Xenopus tropicalis: one gene and its partners. The protein of the gene in region 1 interacts with the protein of each later gene in a biochemical or structural test. Links are inferred from orthologs where the notes say so. Each region holds a gene or a part of one and is shown on either strand. Other genes may lie near its edges.

The links. The genes of interacting proteins can lie anywhere in the genome.
Region 2: the proteins of rnf7 (region 1) and ube2c form a complex in vitro, tested with the Homo sapiens proteins (4 studies listed by BioGRID). The link is inferred for Xenopus tropicalis from reciprocal best matches to the Homo sapiens genes RNF7 and UBE2C.
Region 3: the proteins of rnf7 (region 1) and cdc34 form a complex in vitro, tested with the Homo sapiens proteins (5 studies listed by BioGRID). The link is inferred for Xenopus tropicalis from reciprocal best matches to the Homo sapiens genes RNF7 and CDC34.

What each region holds. Positions count from the first base shown.
Region 1 is NC_030681.2:129,412,180-129,419,559, forward strand, and holds the start of rnf7 (RING-box protein 2), read left to right. Parts: upstream 1-3,260; 5' UTR 3,261-3,299; coding exon 3,300-3,432; intron 3,433-5,952; coding exon 5,953-6,000; intron 6,001-7,277; coding exon 7,278-7,380. UniProt on the Homo sapiens protein: Catalytic component of multiple cullin-5-RING E3 ubiquitin-protein ligase complexes (ECS complexes), which mediate the ubiquitination and subsequent proteasomal degradation of target proteins.
Region 2 is NC_030686.2:19,652,268-19,659,622, forward strand, and holds the start of ube2c (ubiquitin-conjugating enzyme E2 C), read left to right. Parts: upstream 1-3,333; 5' UTR 3,334-3,466; coding exon 3,467-3,567; intron 3,568-6,781; coding exon 6,782-6,809; intron 6,810-7,355. UniProt on the Homo sapiens protein: Accepts ubiquitin from the E1 complex and catalyzes its covalent attachment to other proteins. In vitro catalyzes 'Lys-11'- and 'Lys-48'-linked polyubiquitination.
Region 3 is NC_030677.2:105,627,193-105,634,874, reverse strand, and holds the start of cdc34 (ubiquitin-conjugating enzyme E2 R1), read right to left. Parts: upstream 4,023-7,682; 5' UTR 3,866-4,022; coding exon 3,683-3,865; intron 1,290-3,682; coding exon 1,203-1,289; intron 1-1,202. UniProt on the Homo sapiens protein: E2 ubiquitin-conjugating enzyme that accepts ubiquitin from an E1 ubiquitin-activating protein, and catalyzes its covalent attachment to other proteins by an E3 ubiquitin-protein ligase complex. In vitro catalyzes 'Lys-48'-linked polyubiquitination.

The DNA.
Region 1 (7,380 bases):
AGTATATGTATTTACTTAATCCACCCCACACAATGCGTCAATGTTGATATAATTAATAACTTTCCTGCCACACTGATCTCTATCTAGGAAGTGGCACTGTTTTCTCTTCAGTTCCTGGAGCCAGTTTTAGTAAAGAAACTCTAGTTCTATATCCCTGAGACATATGTCTCATAGTTAGTGCTAAAACCTAAAATGTACCCTTATATGTTCTGGGACAAATGCATCATCACTTTATACTGAAATAGCTAAGGCAACTGGTTAGTTAAGGCCCCTTTAAAGAGTTGGGTAGTTGATAGCTTTAGTCTTTGCTGTTGGTGCAACAGGCAGAAAAATCTTACCTCTCAAATCATCCCAATAGCTGATTAAAAAGCTGCTGATCAGTTATGCTGTTTTAGTGTATCAATAAAGTATTTGGCTGTATTAAGCACTTTTTGTTTCCTCTGTGTACTGTAACAGAATTACAGGATCTTTAAACATAATGCAGGGGACCCACATAAAAGGCAAGTAGGTGCATAGCTAGGGCATGGGCCCAACAGTACCCCAGGTCATTAATCATTTGAACATAACATTTTATTTTTTTTCCTGGAAGCTGTATATCTTGAAACTGTATTCTTAGACTGTGTACTGGATATCAGTTACCACTGGGTATTGTGCTGCCAGTACAGAGTGGTTCACAGATGGTGCTGCTATGCATGCATAGCTATGTGTTCTTGGCTGCATTCCTGGAGGCAATACCTACACCAGTGATCCCCAACCAGTGGCTCATCCAACCCCTTGGATGTTGCTCCCAGTGGCCTCTAAGCAGGTGCTTATTTTTGAATTTCTGGCTTGGAGGTATGTTTTGGTTGCACGAAAACCAGGTCTACTAACAAACAAAACCTTCTGTAGGCTGTCAGCCAATACACAGTCTACCAAATAGGCAATTATAGCTCTTATTTGGCATCCCTAGGATTTTTTTTACGCTTGTATTGCTCCCCAATCCTTTGTATATTTCAATGTGGCTTACGAGTAAAAAAAGTTTGGGGACCCTGACCTAGACAAAAAAGGGGGGAACTGGGCACCATAAGACTAAGAAGCAATAAAAGCACTAGGAATAAAAGAGAAGCTAGAAAAAATGTTCACCACACTAGAAAAAAAAAACACCCGTAATTGAAATGCCTCTAGAATATCAGACCAAGCTTGTCTTTAGCTGAAGAAAACCCATAGAACAGAAGACACCTTAAATATCATCTAAGAGACCAAACACTGACTCTCCTTTACCCAACATGGGGCACAGTGCTCTTCCTTTCACTAACAGCCATCTGAGAAGCTCCTGGCCATCAATCTCTGCTGGGACCACATTCATACCTTCCCCCCTACCTATATCCATAGAGCCTGCACATATACAGTGTGAGCTTAGTGTAGCTAAGTGTCATCCGGCTGATACTAACCGTACTTGCAAATGTAAATTATTTTCTAAAAATCACTAAATGATTTGCTAATGCGCCGTACCCTCACTCACTGATATAGTGCATTGGCAGATAATTGGCTGATAATCTTTGGTTTGACAAGTTTGCAGGAAGATCTGTCAGAATGACTGTGTGGGACCTAATGAACATATTTTTGAATCATCTAGTTCCCCAGGGACCCAAGTTCAACTTCCCAGGCAGCGATTGCCAACCTTGCGAGCTGGTCCCGTGTCGTGGAGAGAGAACCCACTCTCACAGAACATGGAAACCGTATAAAAAAGGGGAAATCTAATTCATCAAATATATAAATAAAATTGGACTGAGAACTTCTGATCAGATAAATCAATTGTTTGCTTTCACTCTATATCTAAAGGTGGCCATACACGGACCGATTTTTTACTTACAAACGACCGATTCCCGAACGATCCGATGCTATCGTTAAGTTATCGTATAGTTGGTGGTGTACGAACGATCGTCGGCCCACTAAACGAGCCGACATTACCGTCCCCAAAATCGATCGGCCAGGTTTAAAAATTTTGGTCGTTTAACGATAAAATCTGCCAGTTGGTGTGAGTGTCAGACATTTGTCTTTCAACGATTGTTCTCTGCGCATGTCACGATTGCCAGCAGCAGAAGTCAACGACATCGATCGTACGTAGATGTACGATCGTAGGTATTTTACGATAATGATGCGACAAAATCTTTCCCGAATTATCGTTGCCCGTGGATGGCATATCGTATGGGAACTCGATCGCCATACGATCGTTTGTCGATATAATCGTTCATCGCACAACGAGCGAAATCGCCTCGTGTATGGCCACCTTTACAAACTCCTCCTAACCTTCAAAGCCCTCTATTCCTCTGCTCCTCACTACATCTCTTCCCTTGTGTCTCCGTACGTTCCTGGCCGACTCCTTCGTTCCTCGCAGAGCAATCGCTTGGTTGCGCCCCCCACTACTACTGCGGTTTCCCGCCTTAAACCTTTCTGCCCCTTACATTTGGAATGCCCTCCCTGATGTCCTCCGGAGAGAATCCTCCCCCAGTCTTTTTAAGACTAAACTAAAAGACTTTAGACTCACCCAGCACCTGATCTGGGAACTGGCACTTATATTGTAGTGTCACCCACTGTGACCTACAGCACTTATATTTGCCTATTTGTGTCTGTAAGTTACCCCTCCCATATAGATTGTAAGCTCTACGGGGCAGGGACCTCCATCCTCTTGTGTCTTTGACTCTTAACTTATTGCAGCTGTATTTATCTGTATTTATTGTTATACTTTGTATTTATCTATTATCTTATTAACACCCTGTTTACATTAATGTATTCTACTGTACAGCGCTGCGTACATAAGTAGCGCTTTATAAATAAAGATATATATATATATATATATACACATACATACATAAATACTCTACATGCAGCTGACTGAAATGAAGCTAATTGGTCATTGGTTGCTATAGGTTACTGCCCATGTGCAAATTCACCCAGGGTTGATAAACGAGCAAAATCATCCTCACCTAGGAATATATCAATGATAACACTTTTAAATATAAACCTAATGTTCATTATATTTGTCACTAAACACAAATACTGACATCAGGCAACACCATGCTCCGCCCCAGCAACAAATCGCAGCGCCTTTCCCTTAACTGTTTCGGGCGAATAGAACCAGTATAGCTATTGGTTGCTTCTCTAGGGGCGTAACCCTATGTCTTGCGTACTGGGATTGGCTCTACAGATATATTTTGCTAAAGCGATTGGCTTAGCTTAGCCTGTGCTCTTCTCTCATTGGGTCAATTACCGCAGCACATCGAAAGGATTGGCTATCTGAGGAGCCGCCCCCTGCCGGTATGGCTGCTTTGCGGGAGGAGCACGGAGCGAGCGGACCCAAGATGTTCTCCTTGAAGAAATGGAACGCGGTGGCGATGTGGAGCTGGGATGTGGAGTGCGATACGTGCGCTATCTGCAGGGTGCAGGTCATGGGTGAGAGATACAGCTCGCTGGCACTGGGGCGAAGGCTTCGTGTTGCGGGAATTACCTTCCGCTGCCAGCAGCAGCCCTGCTTGGGGAATCGGCCATACAGTCTCTGGTGGGGGCCGGGGGTTACTGTCACCTACTGAAATGACAGGCGCACACAGGCGGTATATGGAATATACCATTACCCTTCCTGTATTGTCATCCTGGGGGGAGAGGGACATCCCATTCCTAGTAGCTTTTTATGCCCCCCTGGATGACTCAAATCTCCATAGACAGTAATGTTGCTATAGCCCCTTGGCTATTTAGCATCCTTCCCCCCCTCCCTGTGCCAATGCTTTCACCCCCCCATCTGCCCCATCTGTTTGGATTTTGCCATGATATTCCCTGTGGGACTGCACCCATGCCCACCAGTTACACTACTGCCCATACACCCCATTGTGTCACATCATTTATTCCCATACACCCCATTGTGTCACATCATTTATTCCCATACACCCCATTGTGTCACATCATTTATTCCCATACACCCCATTGTGTCACATCATTTATTCCCATACACCCCATTGTGTCACATCATTTATTCCCATACACCCCATTGTGTCACATCATTTATTCCCATACACCCCATTGTGTCACATCATTTATTCCCATACACCCCATTGTGTCACATCATTTATTCCCATACACCCCATTGTGTCACATCATTTATTCCCATACACCCCATTGTGTCACATCATTTATTCCCATACACCCCATTGTGTCACATTATTTATTCCCATACACCCCAATGTGTCACATCATTTATTCCCATACACCCCAATGTGTCACATCATTTATTCCCATACACCCCATTGTGTCACATCATTTATTCCCATACACCCCAATGTGTCACATCATTTATTCCCATACACCCCATTGTGTCACATCATTTATTCCCATACACCCCATTGTGTCACATCATTTATTCCCATACACCCCATTGTGTCACATCATTTATTCCCATACACCCCAATGTGTCACATCATTTATTCCCATACACCCCAATGTGTCACATCATTTATTCCCATACACCCCATTGTGTCACATCATTTATTCCCATACACCCCAATGTGTCACATCATTTATTCCCATACACCCCATTGTGTCACATCATTTATTCCCATACACCCCATTGTGTCACATCATTTATTCCCATACACCCCATTGTGTCACATCATTTATTCCCATACACCCCATTGTGTCACATCATTTATTCCCATACACCCCATTGTGTCACATCATTTATTCCCATACACCCCATTGTGTCACATCATTTATTCCCATACACCCCATTGTGTCACATCATTTATTCCCATACACCCCAATGTGTCACATCATTTATTCCCATACACCCCAATGTGTCACATCATTTATTCCCATACACCCCATTGTGTCACATCATTTATTCAAATAAATGATAAAAAACATAAAGTGTTGGCTACTTGTCCCACAGCATTGATGTTAATAAAGGATCTAGTTCTCTATATTGTGAAATATACACAAACAAACACTATATGGTTTGAAGTATCCAGACTCCCCTTCAGATTAGTGGAAGTTATTATTTAAGCCACACTTCAGTCTCATTACTGATCTGGGGGTATAATGAAGCACCAGCAACAAATATTGCCAAACTTAGTGATTTTTAACATGGCATCATCATAAGATGTCTGTTTTGTTGCTATTTAGTTTGTGAGATTTTGGTGCTGGTGAGATGTAGGTGGGAAAGTGAAGTAGTGGGGCCTGGATACTCGCAGGCAATGCTGAGCGCAGATTACAGCACATATCCGTCAGTTGGAACACTCACTTCTGAGCTCCACACTGTTCCTGAAAGCAATGGCAGCACAAGAACTGTTGGTAAAGTAAGAATAAGGATTTCTATGAGAGGGCAGTGTCACGCAAGCCTAACATTTGGAATGCTAAGCTTCTCCTGGGGAGGATATTGGGAGCAGTGGGAACAGGCCTTTGTCAGATGAATCCCTTGTTACCATCCTAGTTGTTTACCAAATGAGTGTGGGTGACAGACACCAGCTGGACACTCCCTACCTGAATGCATAATGCAGATTTAAAGCTTGGTGGGGAGGAATAATAATCAGTTAGGGCCCCATTGAAAGAAACAGTGTACTATACTGTTAATGACGGTTCCATGTTTTCTACTTTGTGACAACAGTTTGGGTACAGTTCCGTCCTCTTTTATCCATACTAGTCTTCCTGTGACTCTCATGGACCCATTCAGTTCCTGCGACTATCCCATTAATTTACATTGGCATTAAATCCCTACCTCACCCTGGTCTATGTAGAAATGAAAAATCTCATGTCAGATAGGTCTGTCTGTGATTATATACACACATGCACCTCAGATTGGATTCAAGCCTCTTCTGCATGGAATTCCTTCCTGTTTAGCCACATTATATAATTTATTTTTTGCTGCTGGGCAGAAGAGGGTTATAAGAGGAAATATTTTAATGGAAGGTGTGTTTTCCTTTCTAGATGCCTGCCTGCGCTGCCAAGCTGAGAACAAACAGGAGGACTGTGTGGGTATGTTAATAACTGACTGGATTTCTAAGCCCGGGGAGAGAGTTCATGGCTACCTAGTAGTGAGTGGATTAAGATGCTGGGCTTACGTCACTGTGTGCATGGGGTCATTCCTTCATAGTGAAGGGCAAATGTCTTAAGCAGTGCTTGCTTTTTATCCTGATTGGAATTGTCTCCTAGAGCTGATCTTTATCTTTCTATACTTTATTTCCTGTCAGTGTTTGCCTAGCTCTCCACATTAGAAATAAGCTTGAAGGCAGCGAAAATCAGGAAGTACATGATCTGTTATAGGATAAGGGGAGGCTAATACACAGGGTTGGGTGCCAATATGCCAGGTACCCCCAGTGTTTGTAATCGGACTGGTTCTGTAGTTTATTAATGATTGCACTGATCCTTTCTCACTAAGCTATGTACCAGCATCTTTGTAATATGTTAAGTGGCTATGACTTTGGGCCCTACCCAACCTCCCCAAAATAATCCCCCCCCCCCTTGACATTGCCAGCACTTCCATTTGATTGGGGAGTAAATGCAGGTGAGAAGATTGTACCTCAGTAGTTAAAAGAACATTGTATGCCATAAGGGTAAATCAACTCCAAGCTTCTCAAACCAGCAATGTTATTAGTGATGATTATGGGATGTAACCGTTTAGACATTTTACCTAAATATTGAATTACACTTGCTGGAACAACATTTTGTCTCCTGTACTGAGACAGCGCATTGGTGCAGTGGTAGCATTAGCTGCCTTGCAGCACTGGTTTCCTTGGTTTGATGTATGTGCCCCCTGTGCTTGCTTGCATTTCCTCTTGGTACTCGCACAAAGCAACAATGGGCTTATAAAGTACACTTACCAAGTGGAAAAGATGGTCCAGGTGCTCCAGACCCTTAGCTTAGGGAGCTGATATCCGTGGGCAAAGGACATGATTAAGTGCTCATAGGACACGAAACGCGTAGGGCATTTGGATATGTTAATTTTTTAATTTAGCTTTGAATAACAAATTTATTTTACCTTTTGTGACCATCATGGATTCTTTTGGTCACAACAGTATATATACAAACAGGCAGGTTAATTGGCAGCTGATAGAACTGACCATATTTGATGTTAATGTGACAGTTGCATTAGGTTGTAAACACTGGGACAGGGACTGATGTGAGTGGCACATACTCTCTGTATATGGATATATTGGTGCTATATAAACAAAGGCTAATAATAAACAATGAGTTACAGAATTACCCAAATGTGCAGAATTTTGCTATTCACACTAACTTTCTTTTTTTTGCAGTGGTGTGGGGAGAATGTAACCACTCCTTTCATAATTGCTGCATGTCCCTATGGGTAAAGCAGAATAACCGCTGCCCATTATGCCAACAAGACTGGGTGGTGCA
Region 2 (7,355 bases), on another chromosome or scaffold:
TTCCAAACCTGTCCTTGGGCAACAGTACATATTATATGATCCTTAGCAGCACAGGTACATCATTAATTAAGATATCCAGAAAACAAGATAGTTGGAGGGCCCTGAGGACAGGCTGGGGATATGCAGTTATATGCAGACTTGCTTAGATAACTCAGACTTGCCAGCCACTGGGATGATTAAGTGCAAAGAACACTTTCAGGCTATTCTGTAGTGTGTGATAGGAGGTGATTTCAATGGATATGGCGTCACCCCCAAGCTGGTGAAAAAATTATTCTGTTTGCCATTGCATTAATGAAGGGGAATATGACTGGCAAGCTACATTGCTGCATGGCATAACAGATGTCTTTCAGCTGCACTGTCCACAGGGGCATCACTAATGCAATTTTATGTAAGGGGCATTGGAACAGGAGGAGGGGCCTCATGTATACCTGTGTTTTATGTACAGTAGCTGTTTGCTAGACTCTAAAACAAACTGTGGCAGCTCACACATAAATGAAGAAAAGTTATGTCAAATATACACAGTAAGCTGTAAACACCTCTCTAAAAACATTTAAGTGGAAATGGATGGAAGATAATTGCTGCTTATATACAGGTAATATATAGGTGGTGAGACGGGTGCTGCTGTGGATGGCTCACTGCTGAGAATACAAAAGGTTGTGATTTTAAAAAGGACTATTGCATACATATGCCCTTTTTCTGCCAATCCAGTATAGCAGGGCCAGCCTTAGGTCAATTGAACCTATTGGGCCCAATAGGGCCCCACTCCAGGGGGAGTAAGCACATAAAGCTGTCTATCCCGCCCCCAACAATAATTGCCCAATAATACTGTTATGTGTTCTGGGACATTAAACCCCCCCTTTCACTGTGTATAGTGTGTTGGAGGGACCAATCACTCTCTCTCGCTGTATGTAGTATGCTTGGCGTGTCAGTGCACAGTGCTTGGGGCCCACATTGTGCCATGAAATGTTGGGGGCCAATGGAACAAGAGAAAGTGGTGAAAAGGAAGGGTTACACCATCAGTCACATAGTAAGAGGCAGGAACTATTTACCCATACATTCCTGGAACCCTGTGCCAGCTGACAACACTTTGTGCAGGGGGCCCGCCAGAATGGTTCCAATTTGGCCTTGCAGTTTATAAGACCAGCCCTGCACTATAGGTGAGCTGTGTCTTTGTTTGCATTACAATTCCATCTACCATTATTTAGTGTATCAGGCATCATTCCAAACATTCCCAAACAGCACTCACTTGAGCTGGGAGCTCAACTAAAACCACATTGTTTGCACATTGCGAAATCAAGTGATTTCCATTTGGTAATATTTGGATTTATGTTCCCAATTCTTCTACAAATGGCAGAACTGCCAAATGGAGTACTACATACAAACAGTCATTAAAAAAAGTTTGGGAACCCCTCTTAATTCTTTGGAGTTTTGTTTATCACTGGCTGAGCTTTCAAAGTAGCAACGTCCTTTTAATATATATATATATATATATATATATATATATATGCGCCTTATGGAAACAGTAGTGACATAAAGTTTATTAGATTAACAGAAAATATGCAATATGCATCATAACAAAATTAGACAGGTGCATAAATTTGGGCACCCCCACAGAGATATTACATCAATACTTAGGGGCTGATTTACTAAGACACGAATTCCGACTGAATTGGAAAAATTCCGATTGGAAAACGAACATTTTGCGACTTTTTCGTATTTTTTGCGATTTTTTCGGCGCCTTTACGACTTTTCGGAAATTATCGCGACTTTTTCGTTACCAATACGATTTGCGCAAAAAAACGCGAGTTTTTCGTAGCCATTCCGAAAGTTGTGATTTTTTCGTAGCGTTAAAACTTGCGCGAAAAGTTTCGCTTTTTTCGTAGCGTTAAAACTTAAAAGGCGCGACGTTTTGCGCAAGTTTTAACACTACGAAAAAATCACAACTTTTTGCGCAAGTTTTAACGCTACGAAAAAATCACAACTTTCGGAATGGCTACGAAAAACTCGCGTTTTTCCGCAAAAATCGTATTGGTAACGAAAAAGTCGCGATAATTTTCCGAAAAAATCGCAAAATACCGATCATTACGAAAAAAACGCAATCGGACGCATTCGGCCTGTTCGTGAGTAAGTAAATGGGCCCCTTAGTTGAGCCTTCTTTTGCAAATGTAACAGCCTCTAGACGCCTCCTATAGCCTTTGATGAGTGTCTTGGTTCTCGATGGCGGTATTTTTGACCATTCACCCATACAAAATCTCTCAGTTAAATTTGATGCCTGTTGAGCATGGAAGTTTCCTCTCAACGCAACTTCTGCGATTTCAGTGAAATCGCGCCACCACGTATGCCATCCCACCGGCGATTTACACTTTCGCCGGTGGGATGGCATTTCTGGGAGATTAGTCGCCCGGGAACAGGGAGATTTGTCGCGGGCGACTAAGCTCCCCGTGTGCCAGAGCCCTTAGGAAAAGTTGGGGAAATTGCTTGTAGCATCAGGAGACTGGGGGAGGGACAGTGCAATTAAGTAACTACCCAGATTATAGGGGGAGTTGCAGAGCTGTCAACCTCCGATAGTCAAGGATGTGCAGTGTTATTTTTTCGTGCTAACCAGAAGTGATGTCAATACATGTGCATAACTGACCTTTGAAGCTGAAAAATTGTTGATTGCGCATATGCAAATGCTCACTATGTTGTCACTGAATGCACATGCATGAATTTAATGAGAAAAATCAGAATGCTATCAACAGACCAGAGACATGGGAGAGAAAGCCAAATTGGGTAACTCAGAAAAATATAGGGGGGTTGACAGCTCTGTGTAAGCACATATGGGGACTCTTCAGTGGAAGATTATTTTAGTTTCCCCCTTGCTGGACAGACTTTTACATGGGGTGGAAAGGGGTGGTATGACAGGAACAGTTTATGGCAACTACTCTGTAACATTAGAGAAGTACTGCTCTCCTTCTAATGACTTGACTGGGTTAGTTAACATCCTTGTTACAAGAAAACGTCAAACGATTGAAATTTGAGCAAAGGTATTTTATACTTTTCACGTCGTAATAAAAACAAAAAGTATAATAAAAAGTATAACTTCAAGATAATACTCTTTCCTGACAGAACTTTCCCACACACGTATTATTTATTTATTTATTTATTTTGATAGGCAACGGAATTCTTCCAATCACAATAAAGCATAGCAGTCTACTTTAGCCAATCCCGTACCTTTGTTTAAAACGCCTACGCTTCCGACACCAAACTTGCCAGTCTCTGCGGAAACCGTTCTGTGAGCATTCCGATTGGTTAAATTAAATATTTAAGCGACGCTGATTGGACGCTTTGTGTAGAAGTTAAAAATTTCAAATAGAGGGCGGTAGGTTTAGTTACAGAATTAAGAGGAAGCGTCAAAGATCTCTGGGAGTGGAAGCCGGATACTCAGCAACGTTCAAGGCCCGGTTTTTGTCATTTTTACATACCGATGGCTTCACAGAATGTGGATCCAGCTGCGGCCAGCTCGGTGACTGCAAGGAAAGGACAAGAGTCGGGGACCTCGGCCGCCCGTGGCTCTGTGGGAAAGAGGTGAGGAGAGCCGGCTCTTGGGAACAATGGCCGCTGTGCTTATGGCGATGGCAGTGTAGCTGGATCTTGGCACACCCTCTGTATAATTCAGATGGGTCACTTGAGATATTTTGCTATCAAATTTTATTCAGCTTATAGCAGCTATATCTCTGTTTTCTAAACTTCATTCATTTTACGTATCTCTTCCACTGCTTAGTTACAATATACAGGTTTTCTCTACTCCCTTTAATATCCGCTACATTGTCTACAGTGTCACATCCTGTTTTTGGTCCAGATCTGTGGCTGCCATGGTTAGTAAATTGTTCTGATCCAGCTTGCAGTCAAATGAGTTTAGAGTTTAGTGTCAGTTCTAAAACCAGTCCAAAAGTCTGAAAGTAGCCCAAAAATAGGCCAAAATGTGCAAGTATATATGGGAAACATGCCTTTTTAAAGCGTATAATCACTACCCAGTTACTGGGAATGCTGATAATTCCCTGACCTCTGTGCCCAGTCCAGCTGGGAAGACTACAAAATTAGATTCCGAATGTTGCATTAACCCCAGACATGAGATACATATGGGTGTGCTGAACTACAACTCTCAGCAGTCCCAAGATATCCGGAGAGTTATATCTTAATGATCAACTGCAGAACTGCCCCCACATCACAGCAGAAAGTAATAGTACAATCACATACCCTATAGAGCAGGTTGCAGAATATACAGGTTGACCCTGAAAGAGCAAAAAGGAATACAAAACAGAGCCTCTATCTATACTGTCCAATTGCATGCTGGGTATTGTAGTTTTATATTAATCCTAACTGTAGATTAAGGCTCCAAAAAATAGCCCCAAACTGTTCCTTGGTGGGTTTGTACCTTGGAAACCTGCCAGGGCTTTAAATTGGTAGCCCAATTTTGCAGAAACACCAACCTGGCAACTCTGCTGCAAGTGTGGCCATTAAGGAAAGCACCATTGACTTGGGGAGGGGGGTAGGCAATATGTAAGACACCCCCACCCAATGGCTGTAATTGCTTAAAGCCTTAAACAAAGGTAGTGTTATTTTACATGCCATCCCAGGCAGACTTCAGCTGCTAATTTGGCCACTTCAGACCTAGTCTGTAGCTTATCTGCCTATGTATGGGGCCTTCAGACTGTCTGAAACTGGATCAGACATTGATAATGCACTGACTTGGTGTGCCATTCACTGGGGTGGGGGGGGGGGGTTGCAGTCATGGTCCTGTAGCCAGAGGGTGTTTGGGGTAAAGGATTCTGGTCTAAATCTAGAATAATAAAATCATATGTCTAAAGGTGGCCACACACCTTTTTGAGATGGGTCAGTCTATCGGACTGGACGACCTTTTGGCTAACAAAGTGTAGTATCGAAATGAGAAACACTTGGTCCTCTGGCCTTTAGGTTGTCAGGCGGAAGCTTGATGAAAGCAGAGGAGCTGTGTTCCCATAAGGGAATGCCTGACATATTTTAGTTGGGGACTTTGCACATGCACCTTCTGCTTAATTATGCTTAACTTAATTTGCCCTGGCAATTAGGACGGCGGGAGGCATTTTTCTTTTTGGCCGCCAGCTGGAGCCTTACCAAGGCAATCCATGGCATTGCACTCGCACACTTCAGCACCTGTCTTGTTTGATTTGTGCACCATGGATTGGTGTCATAGTCCTCTGGGTTTGACCCCAGGCCAAGACCTGATGGGTCTCACACTAGCTTCGGCAAAGGTGGACGTACCCGCCCATGCTGTTCATTGGTGAAAGCCTTGGACACATGAGCATTGGAGCCCAAGCCTTCACATAGGACTCACGCAATGAGTCAATATTATCATCAGCCTGGTGGAGCATGCACAGAAGAGGAACTGGAGATTTTGTTCATTAGAGTGCGTGTCACTGTTGACCTCCAGATTCCCTTCCCTGTATAAAACCATCAGCAAATGGCAACCTTAGTTTATGGTTGCTATAGCTGCCTGCTGATTGTGATTGCACCGATCTGCAATCTTTGTTTTCTCCAGTGATGGTTCTGTCTTCTCCCACTTCCCCAGCTGCCTGCTACTGCGCAGAAATGGCTAAATTGGCTAAATATTTAAGTTCATTTCTAGTATGTTATAGAAAGGCAAATTATAAGCAGCTTTTCAAGTGGTCTTCATTTATTTTTTTTTATAGCTTTTGCCTTCCAACTCTTTGCAGCTTTCAAATAGGGGTCACTGACCCCAGCAACCAAAAAACTATTGCTCTGTGAAGCTACAGTTTAATTGTTGTTGTCAGATTATATTTCTCTATTCAGGTGTTCTCCTTTTCAAATCAGTCTTTCATTCAAATCACACCCTGGCTGCTAAGGTAATTTGTATCCTAGCAACCAAATAGCTGCTGAAACTCCAAGCTGAAAAGCAAAAGCTGAAATAATCTACAAATTTGCAATTGGTCTTCATTTTTAATTCTCAGAATATTACTATCTACATTATACTTAAAGTTAACTCAAAGATGGACAGCTTCTTTAAGATGTAATGGAAGGCAATATGGTGGCCGCAAGTTCAGCTGGCCAGAATAGTTTAAAGCCCAAACAGGGATAAGGTATGTATTGTGTTTAAAAAAAAAAAAAAAAAACTTGGCTATTAGGTTGAGAAAATGTAGATCAAACCAATGGTGACTAGTTAGAGGGTTAACTTGTCCCTCTATGTGCAACAGAACCAATTGATAAATCTCCCCTATATTCATATAAAGCACATTAATACCAAGTGAAGCATAACATCTCAGCTGGTAGATATCCATTATTTACCCATATTGTCTATGACCATAATATTCCAATTCTAAATCACTTAGTCCTTTTGCCATTGCTATAATTTTATTAGCAAAATTACTCTTTGCCCCTTATTTTTACTACCAGTTACTTAAGGAAGCCTATCAATTATGTATACTTATTGTCAATAGCCATAAATATTGTACCGTGAGGCATCCATTATTTATTGCTGCTGTCCATAATGCTGCCTTTATCCCTCCATGGCGAATGCTAGCATCTGTCTCCATTATTTTGGGCTTAACAAGTAAGTTATTAACATTCAAAAAGCCTAATGTCTAGTGACTCTTCTTCCCTTCTGCCGGGATCTGCTGTTCTTAGAGGGCCATGCATGAAAAGATTGCCTGCCAAAGACTGCCACACCCATAGCAAATTCTTATTGTGAGTGTGATTTGTAGCAAAGCTTAAGTGCCCACCTATTTTCTTTCTTCTCTCGTAGGTTACAGCAGGAGCTGATGACCTTAATGGTGAGTGTAAACTTTATGTGCATACAATGAGGATAGTACTTGTGCTTTATACTTTTTAAAGGGAAATTCTGACTTACCAACCAAAGTTTTGTAAGAGCCACACACAACACCAAAACTCTTAATATATATCACTGTAATATGTTCCTTCAAAAAATGAATATAACTTTTATATGCTGAAAGCCATCTGCAAAACAGTTCCTTGCATCATTTGAAATCCTGGCAGGGGAGAAGGGACTAAAACATTGATGTTACAAATTGTAACAACTTTCCAAATTTTACAGACAGCATGTGGAAACTACATAATCCACAATGCATTGCACCGTGGCGTTCCTTTCCTTAATGACATGTTTGCAGGGAATTGTGGGATTTAGAGGATGCAGGCGGTGGAGAGTCAACTACTGTTTTATTTAAATCTCACATTTGTCTGCCAGATCATTAGGAGAACAGGGGGCAAGGCTTATGGAGCCATTCCAAACCATGTTACATTAAAATTCATGAAACTGCTGTGTTTTAAGTTGATCTATATTGCAAAGTTGCTTGAAATTG
Region 3 (7,682 bases), on another chromosome or scaffold:
TAAGCAAGGTTTGGTCATCCAGGTTTTTTCAATCTAAAATTTAGTGCAAACCAACTGCACAGGGCCCCTGAAAGCTGACTGATATAGTCAACAACAAATGGTTGTCAACTGTACTCTGTTTAAATGGCCAGAGATTCAAGGGCTTTAGCCCTTTAAAAGAAGTAAACAAGTCAAACAATTTTAATTTATAAAATAGCTACATATGTAACTGCCAGTGAGTATTGGACCTGACTCTGAAGTCCATTGGTGAGAATTATTGGTTTATTGATAGTCAAGCTTTATTAGATGTTATAATTAGAAGTAGGCTAATACCGATTATCAGATCTTAGATCAATTAGAAAATTATCCCTAGTGTAAACGTGGCCATACATGATGATTTAGGTCCTACCGACCGATTTGGCAGATTACCTGCCTATGTATGGGGCTCTATCATGGGCCTCCCTGACGGATATCTGGGCAAAAATCGGATTTTCCTGATATTGCCTAACTTAGGCAGGCATATAGAATGTAGGATCCACTCATTTGGCAACCTTCCCAAAGCAGAGAATCTTACAGTAAATGGACAGCTTAATATAGAAGCTTTGGCACCGCTAGAGGTAGAGAGAACAGGAAATACAAAAGACATTACACCTACGGCAGTATACCTTGATGACTACTTGAGCAGTCACTTACCAAGGTCCAGCAAGAGTGGCCTATGCAATACTAGAAGTCTATGAAACAACTAAATTGGTATAGACTGCTGAGAACATTGATCTTTAGGCATTGTCTAAGGCACAAATGTGTTCATCCATTTTGGGAGAGAATGATTCATAAAAAAAAAAACAGAAATATATATGAATACGTAACGACTAGTATACCTAGCCATTAACAAAATAACCACACTAATATATAATGAAAATGGAAAAATCAGGATGAGCAGGAATTTCTGCCCTTATAAAAACAAGGGTAGCGAAGCATTTGTATAAGCTCAGTGATTCATAAAAAAAATGTATCAAAGATCATGTAACTAAGGCAATTTTTACATTACAACACAAAAGTTAAACCTTAGTGGCACTGCAGTGTACCACAGTCAGCAAATAATCCCACTCTGAATGGGAAGTGCTGCTGAAAAAGTGTGCATTTTACTCAGTGATGAGAAAATGCCCTATATGCAACTGTCTTTATCCTACACCAAGGGAAGAAGCCAACCTGTCTTTACTAACCTCATAGATGTTAGGATGCCACATCTTTGTCAAAAAACGAAACGCAGGAGGAGAGTAGGGGTAATCAACTGGAAATTTTAAGCGGGCCTAGGACAAAAAGAACATGTAATGGTTAACAAGCAAGTGAGTATGGTTGAGATCCATGCCTTTGTTATAACACACCGTAGCTCCGATTAGCACAAAATAATGGTTCTCAAGCAACATATCTAAGAGTAGATCAACCAAATTTCAGTCTATTAAAAAAAAAAGTGTAATTTATTAATTTTTTACTTGTTTGCTCTCTTTCTGTAGTAACAATAAAACAGTATCTTGTGCTTTATGATAACTAAGCTAACATAAATCCATGTTTCTGGCTAAAAGATCATCTTGGTTTTTATTTTTAAATGCTTCAGCAGGCCATAAACGGGCCAATAAAAGCTGCTAGGTCAGTGCCTCCAGGCCAAATTAACAGCTTATTGGCTCGTGTATAGGGCCCGTCTGACCAATAGCTGATCAATTTTCAATACGGCAAGTTTGAAAATCCTATTGAATGAGGGTGCATTGGCACTCTGAATGTGGCTATCATGCAAGAGGCCCCAATAAAAGATTTGAATTATGTCCAAAAGCTTTCAGAATAATAGATCTCATACTTATAGAACTGCATGATGGGTAAGCAAGCTCAGCTGTCATCAGATTAATGATAAGTAAATAAAAAATAAGGTCTGTTTTCAGTTCCAGGGAGGCTGGATAATGAGATGCACCAATTCCAGAGTTTTATGATTCAAACCTTTGTAAAAGATTTGGCCTAATACCGAACCAAACTCTAATTTGCATTTGAAAACTAACCTATAAAAGGAATAAAAATGTTCAACTTCTGGGTTTACATAAAGAAATAGTGATTTTAAGGATTCAGATTTGGTTCAACCAGGCACATGGATTCGTCTGAATCCGAATCCTGTTGAAAAAGGCAGAATCTTGGCCAAACGCCGAAACAAATCCTGGATTCAGTGTATCCCTAATAATATGTATATTATACATATATTGAAAGTGGTGGTTCACCTTTGAGTTAACTTTTAGTATGTTATAGAAAGGCCAATTCTAAGCAACTTTTCAATTAGTCATTATGTTTTTCATAGTTTTTGAATTATTTACTCTTTGCAGCTTTCAAAGGGGGGTCACTGACCCCCAAGCCAAAGAACTATTGTTCTGCGAAGCTATAGTTTAACTGTTATTGTACATTACTTATGTTTCTATTCAGGCCCTCTCGTATTTATATATCAGTCTTTTATTCAAATCACACCATGGTGGCTTAGGTAATTTGGATCCAAGCAACCAAATAGCTGCTGAAACTCCAAGCTGGAGACAACCAAAAACTGAAATAATTAAAAAAAACTACAAATAAAAAATGAAAACCAGTTGCAAATTGTTTCAGAATATTACGCTCTACATCATACTAAAAATTAAGTAAAAGGTGGACAACCCCTTTAAAGGGGTTGTGCACCTTTGACTTAACTTTTTAGTATGATTTTTTTTTGGCTCAGGGGTCAGTGACCCCATTTGAAAGCTGCAAAGAGTTAGGACAAGGAGGCAAATAAATTAAGAAACTATGAAAAACAAATAATGAAGAATATTCGAAAAGTTGATTAGAATAGGTCTTTATATAAGATACTAAAAGTTAACTTAAAGGTGAACCACCCCTGTAAAACACAATTACATTGTTCTAGCCATTTAACATCTCATTATAAACCCCTATTAAATTTCTTGATCTGTGCAAATGTCTAGGAATAAGTAGTCCCTTGAAACTAATATTATATATATATATATATATATATATATATATATATATATATATATATACACACACACTATAGAAGGCACATCTTAACAAAACTGCCCAAAACTAAGTATAGAGACCCCTTTAATCCTTAAAAGAATGAGGCTTCATACATGTAGCTAGTATGGCATACTAAAATGTAAAAGAGTGGAACGCCTATGTTTGATTAATCTTCTGAAAATCTTTATGAAATAGGCACAGGATGAATACATATAAACCCAGGGTATCTCCACAAACACAAAGTGCCAAATCAGAAGTTAGATGAAGAGTTTAGAGCGTTTTCCTGTTACACAAAGGCCTTTATTGCTTTCTAACACCGTGCATCCTGTGGCTGGGGCCTAGCAGCTGTTGTTGGACTACAACTCGCAGAAAACAGGATTAAAGATTTAGTAGTGCCACACTCTTTCAGTAAGTTTTAGTTTTGGGGTAGCTTTGAGGGCTGGTTGAGTTTCATGTGAAACATTAGTTTCGGGCAAGTTACGGCTATGGCTGTAGGAGTCACATAAACAAAGGAAAGCTTGTTGTGCAGAAAGGCCCAGCGATGTACGCAATACCCACCCACGCCTCTATTACTTACTGCCTCTTTAAATACCCCCCAGCGTGGCTTTCCCTCCCCAAGGCCCCTATGATCACGAACTCCACCATTTCACACACACCTAACCCTCACCTTGAAGTACCCCCCCTCATAGAGGGTGTTTGGGGGGCCAAAGATTGCCACCTCCCAGTTGTACAGATCCCCCTCATCTACCAGGGTGACCCGGAACCCCTCCACCGGCTCTTCCTGTAGCCCCTTGAGTTCCAGCATCAAGGCCTTCTGAGAGCTGGGCACCGGCGCCACCGGCCGGGCCATGGTAGTTCCGCTCCCCGCTTTCTAACCAGGAGCCCACAGCGTCCTCCGCGTAGGGCAGGATGGGATCAGTAGGCTTTTGGTGTTTTAGCAAGAAGGGGCTGCTAGACGACTAAAGGCTTTATTACGACATGTTACGGCACAACGGAGCCGCTTTGCGAATTAACTTGCTGGCTGGAAGAGTAACGGGTGCCGGAAACTGCAAGTGAAGCCACGGCGTTGTGGGAGGAGCAGCCTACAAATCCCACAAGCCCACGAACACTGTGACGCACTGGTGCGAGGGAAGTGTAATCTGAGCGGAGGAAGGAGGGGTCTTGCTGAGGCTGATGGGAACAAAGCTAGATGTTGGTTTCTAGTGGGGAAACGTGATTTACAGAGCTTTTATTTAGTAGTGCAGTAGAAAACTTCAACTTGACACAAAGTTTCTGAATGAACAGTGAATATATCCTTTAATCTCCTAGAATATAACCTTCTAATACAGCTCACCTTAAAGGGCACCTATCACCCTCAAATTGTTTCCCTCATCAGAGGTTAGGGAAACAATAGCTTTTTGTGAAAAAAAAAAAAGCTCCTACCATTGCTAGGCTGCCTGCAGCAGAAGAGTGCTCCAGGTGTGGGCAGCCATATTGCCTCATTTCTCACAATGTGCATAATGAGTGAGTGCCACAAGTTGCTTATTATGTGCATGCTTGTGATGGAGGGTGAATTGCATCCACCACGCCTAGATCAGGCGCATGCGCATCATCTGCAAGTGGAAAGGCGCATTTATTATGCCCACGCATGGCAAACAACATGGTTGCCTGTACTGGGAGCTTCATTCAGGTGCGGGCAGCCTAGAAATGGCAGTTGCTGTATTTTTTAAAAACCAAACTATCGTTTTCCCTCAACCAAAGTGCTGCGTCTATTAGCCTGCACCTCTGGTGGGAGAAGCAGTTAAAGGGTCATAGGTGCACTTTAAAGGACAGGGAAACTTAGATTCAGTGGGTGGCAATTTATTGGGTGCCCCCAACACTTTCCATCAGGCCGGTGCTACACTTTGTAAAATGCCACTTCACTACTACTAGTTAAAGACTAGTTGCTTCCTACTCCATGTACGGTGTTGTAAACAGTAGCATAAGTAGAAGTTACTAGGCCCTGAAAAATCATTTTGGCACACCTTGAAATTAGAAATAATATCTTTCATATACATATAATGAAACTACTTATTATTCAGCAGGCTCCCAACAGTCACAGGGTGTGCTTGCTTTAAAGTTACATTCCTTGTTAAAGGAGATCTAAACCCTTAAAAATTAATATGGCAAGAAGTTGGGAAGTTTTTATATACTGGACTTATTGCTCCAGCCTAAAGGTTTAGCATATTTATTATAGTACTGATCCAGTATTTCAGAGTTGTCACAGGGAATGACTCTGTTAGAAGAGTCTGTGACACTCACATGCTCAGTGTGCTCTGGGCAGTGGCTGAGAAGCTAAGCTTAGGGGTTGTTACAAATTATAAAGCAGAAAATAAGGTTTGTCTGTCATATAAATTGATGCTACAGGGATGATTATTCATTTCTGAATCCCACAACTGATTCTGCGCAAGAATGGGCCAGTAAGGGTGTGTGCAGGTATGCCATGAGACCAAAGTAACCAGAAATGGATAGGGCATGCACAAGACCATTGAGGAAGTTTGTTGCCCACAGCAGGCCAGAGGGACAACTCAGCAAAGTGCAACAACCTCCCAAGTGAAAAAGAGATGGGTAAAGAAACACAGCAGGAAGCGATGACATCGCTAACTCTTAATAGCTTTTCATTTGGCCCAGTGAATCTTTTGCTTATTATTATATGATGTTGGTGTGCATTTTAAGTTTAATAATAAAACACGAAGGAACAGTATTTTTAATTTTCTATCATAGGATCATCCACCCTTTTGTTGGGTAGTCATTTTAAATGTGTTAGAACAGAACACAACTTGAACATGCATTTTAGGTGCAGAAAGCTGGTATGTATTAAACTGGCCAAACGGGCTTGCAGATTATTATCCATAAAACATCTTAAATATTTTCAAAGCTTTCCTGGCCTAGGTTATTTTGCCTGACCTCATGATGGCATTTCTTGGAAGGAAAGACCAAGGAATCAAATCATTTGGCCAGGTGCATTAATACTGTATATGGCCAGTATAATAGTATCAGTGGCAAGAACTCATTTTCTATTGACACCATCATTGCAAAGGCAGTACCAGTATTTTAAGAACTTGGTTCTTGAGGTGGTAGACACCAATGTAATTGGGACCATCCTGGTGCAATGCAACTGTTTCAGCAGTAAAAAGACTACTTTAAATGTCCATGATAACTGCTTTAGCTGAAGCATCAATAGAATTTGAGAAATAAAATGTAATAACTGCAATGTATATTTTAGCAATTATATTGTATTGTATTATGTATATCTTTTATTTAGTTGTAGTTTTGTTTATCACAGAAAATATATCACAAACTTGAGTCTATATGCATAATCAGCTTTTTGAACTGTCTTCTTCTTCTGCCTCTCTTCAGCTTTTAATGTGTACAAATGAAAACTTTGTGAGGCTACAATGTTAGGGCGAAGACACATGGAGCTACTTAGTAGCAGCAACTTGTCACGGCTACAAAACACCAGAAAATAACCTGCCATAGACAATACAGGTATGGGACCTGTTATCCAGAATGCTCGGGACCCAGGCATTTCTGGATAAGGGATCTTTTCGTGATTTGGATCTCCATACCATAAGTCTACTAAAAAATAATTTAAACATCATTTAAACCCAATAGGATCGTTTACCCTCCAATAAGGATCAATTACAAGGTACTGTTCTATTATTACAGAGAAAAAGGAAATCATTTTTAAAAATTAGAATTAATTTCTTATAGTGGAGTCTATGGGAGATAGCCTTTCTGTAATTCAACATATGTACAGACACTTATCAGTAAAAGATCAGCATTGTTTTTTTTTTAGTACCCACGACAAGTAGCTGCTACTATTACTTACATTTCTATTCAGGCCCTTGGCTTGCAGGTAAGGTACCTCTCATCCTAATAAATAGTTCCAATAATTTTGTATCATGTTAAACAAAACATTAACTAAAACATTATTTTGCCCAGTCCTGCGCTTAAGGGCAAATTCCCATACCTGATGCACTCTTACCTTCCAGTTTGTGCCTGTATGTTACCCAACCACTTAGATTGTAAGCTCTACAGGGCTCTAGGAGGGACCTCCTTCCTACTGTGTCTCATACCACATGGCACTTATATATATATTTATTGTATTTATTTATTATATCACTTGTCCTCCCTGTGTGTAATTTTGTATTCTGTAAGATTGTACAGCGCTGCGTACCCTTGTGGCGCTTTATAAACAAAGTTATACATACATACGTACGTACATACATACATACATGTTAGCCAAAATTAACTTTACTTATAAATTATTTACATTTTGTTTCTGTCAATCTTGGAATTCACAAGCACAACAAGCAGACAGGCGCCATTTTGTGGACACTGTTATTAAGATGAGTTTTGTATCATTGACCCTGAAATCTTGTGTAGCTGCCAGAATGGAGGACCTAATGCCCATGCTACACAATTATACAGGAGGGAGAGGGCATGTGCAGTGAAAACTGAAAGTAACTGCTTCCTCTGCCTGTATACCTGAGGCATAGAGGCAGGGCAGGCAATATATGACTGACAAACTTCTAAATACCTTTATAACACATTTTAGGTTACACGTTTAATTTGAAAAGAACGTTTGATATTTATAAAGCTTTTTATTGTCTGGGTGACAGATTCCCTTTAAAAGTTAGCAACAC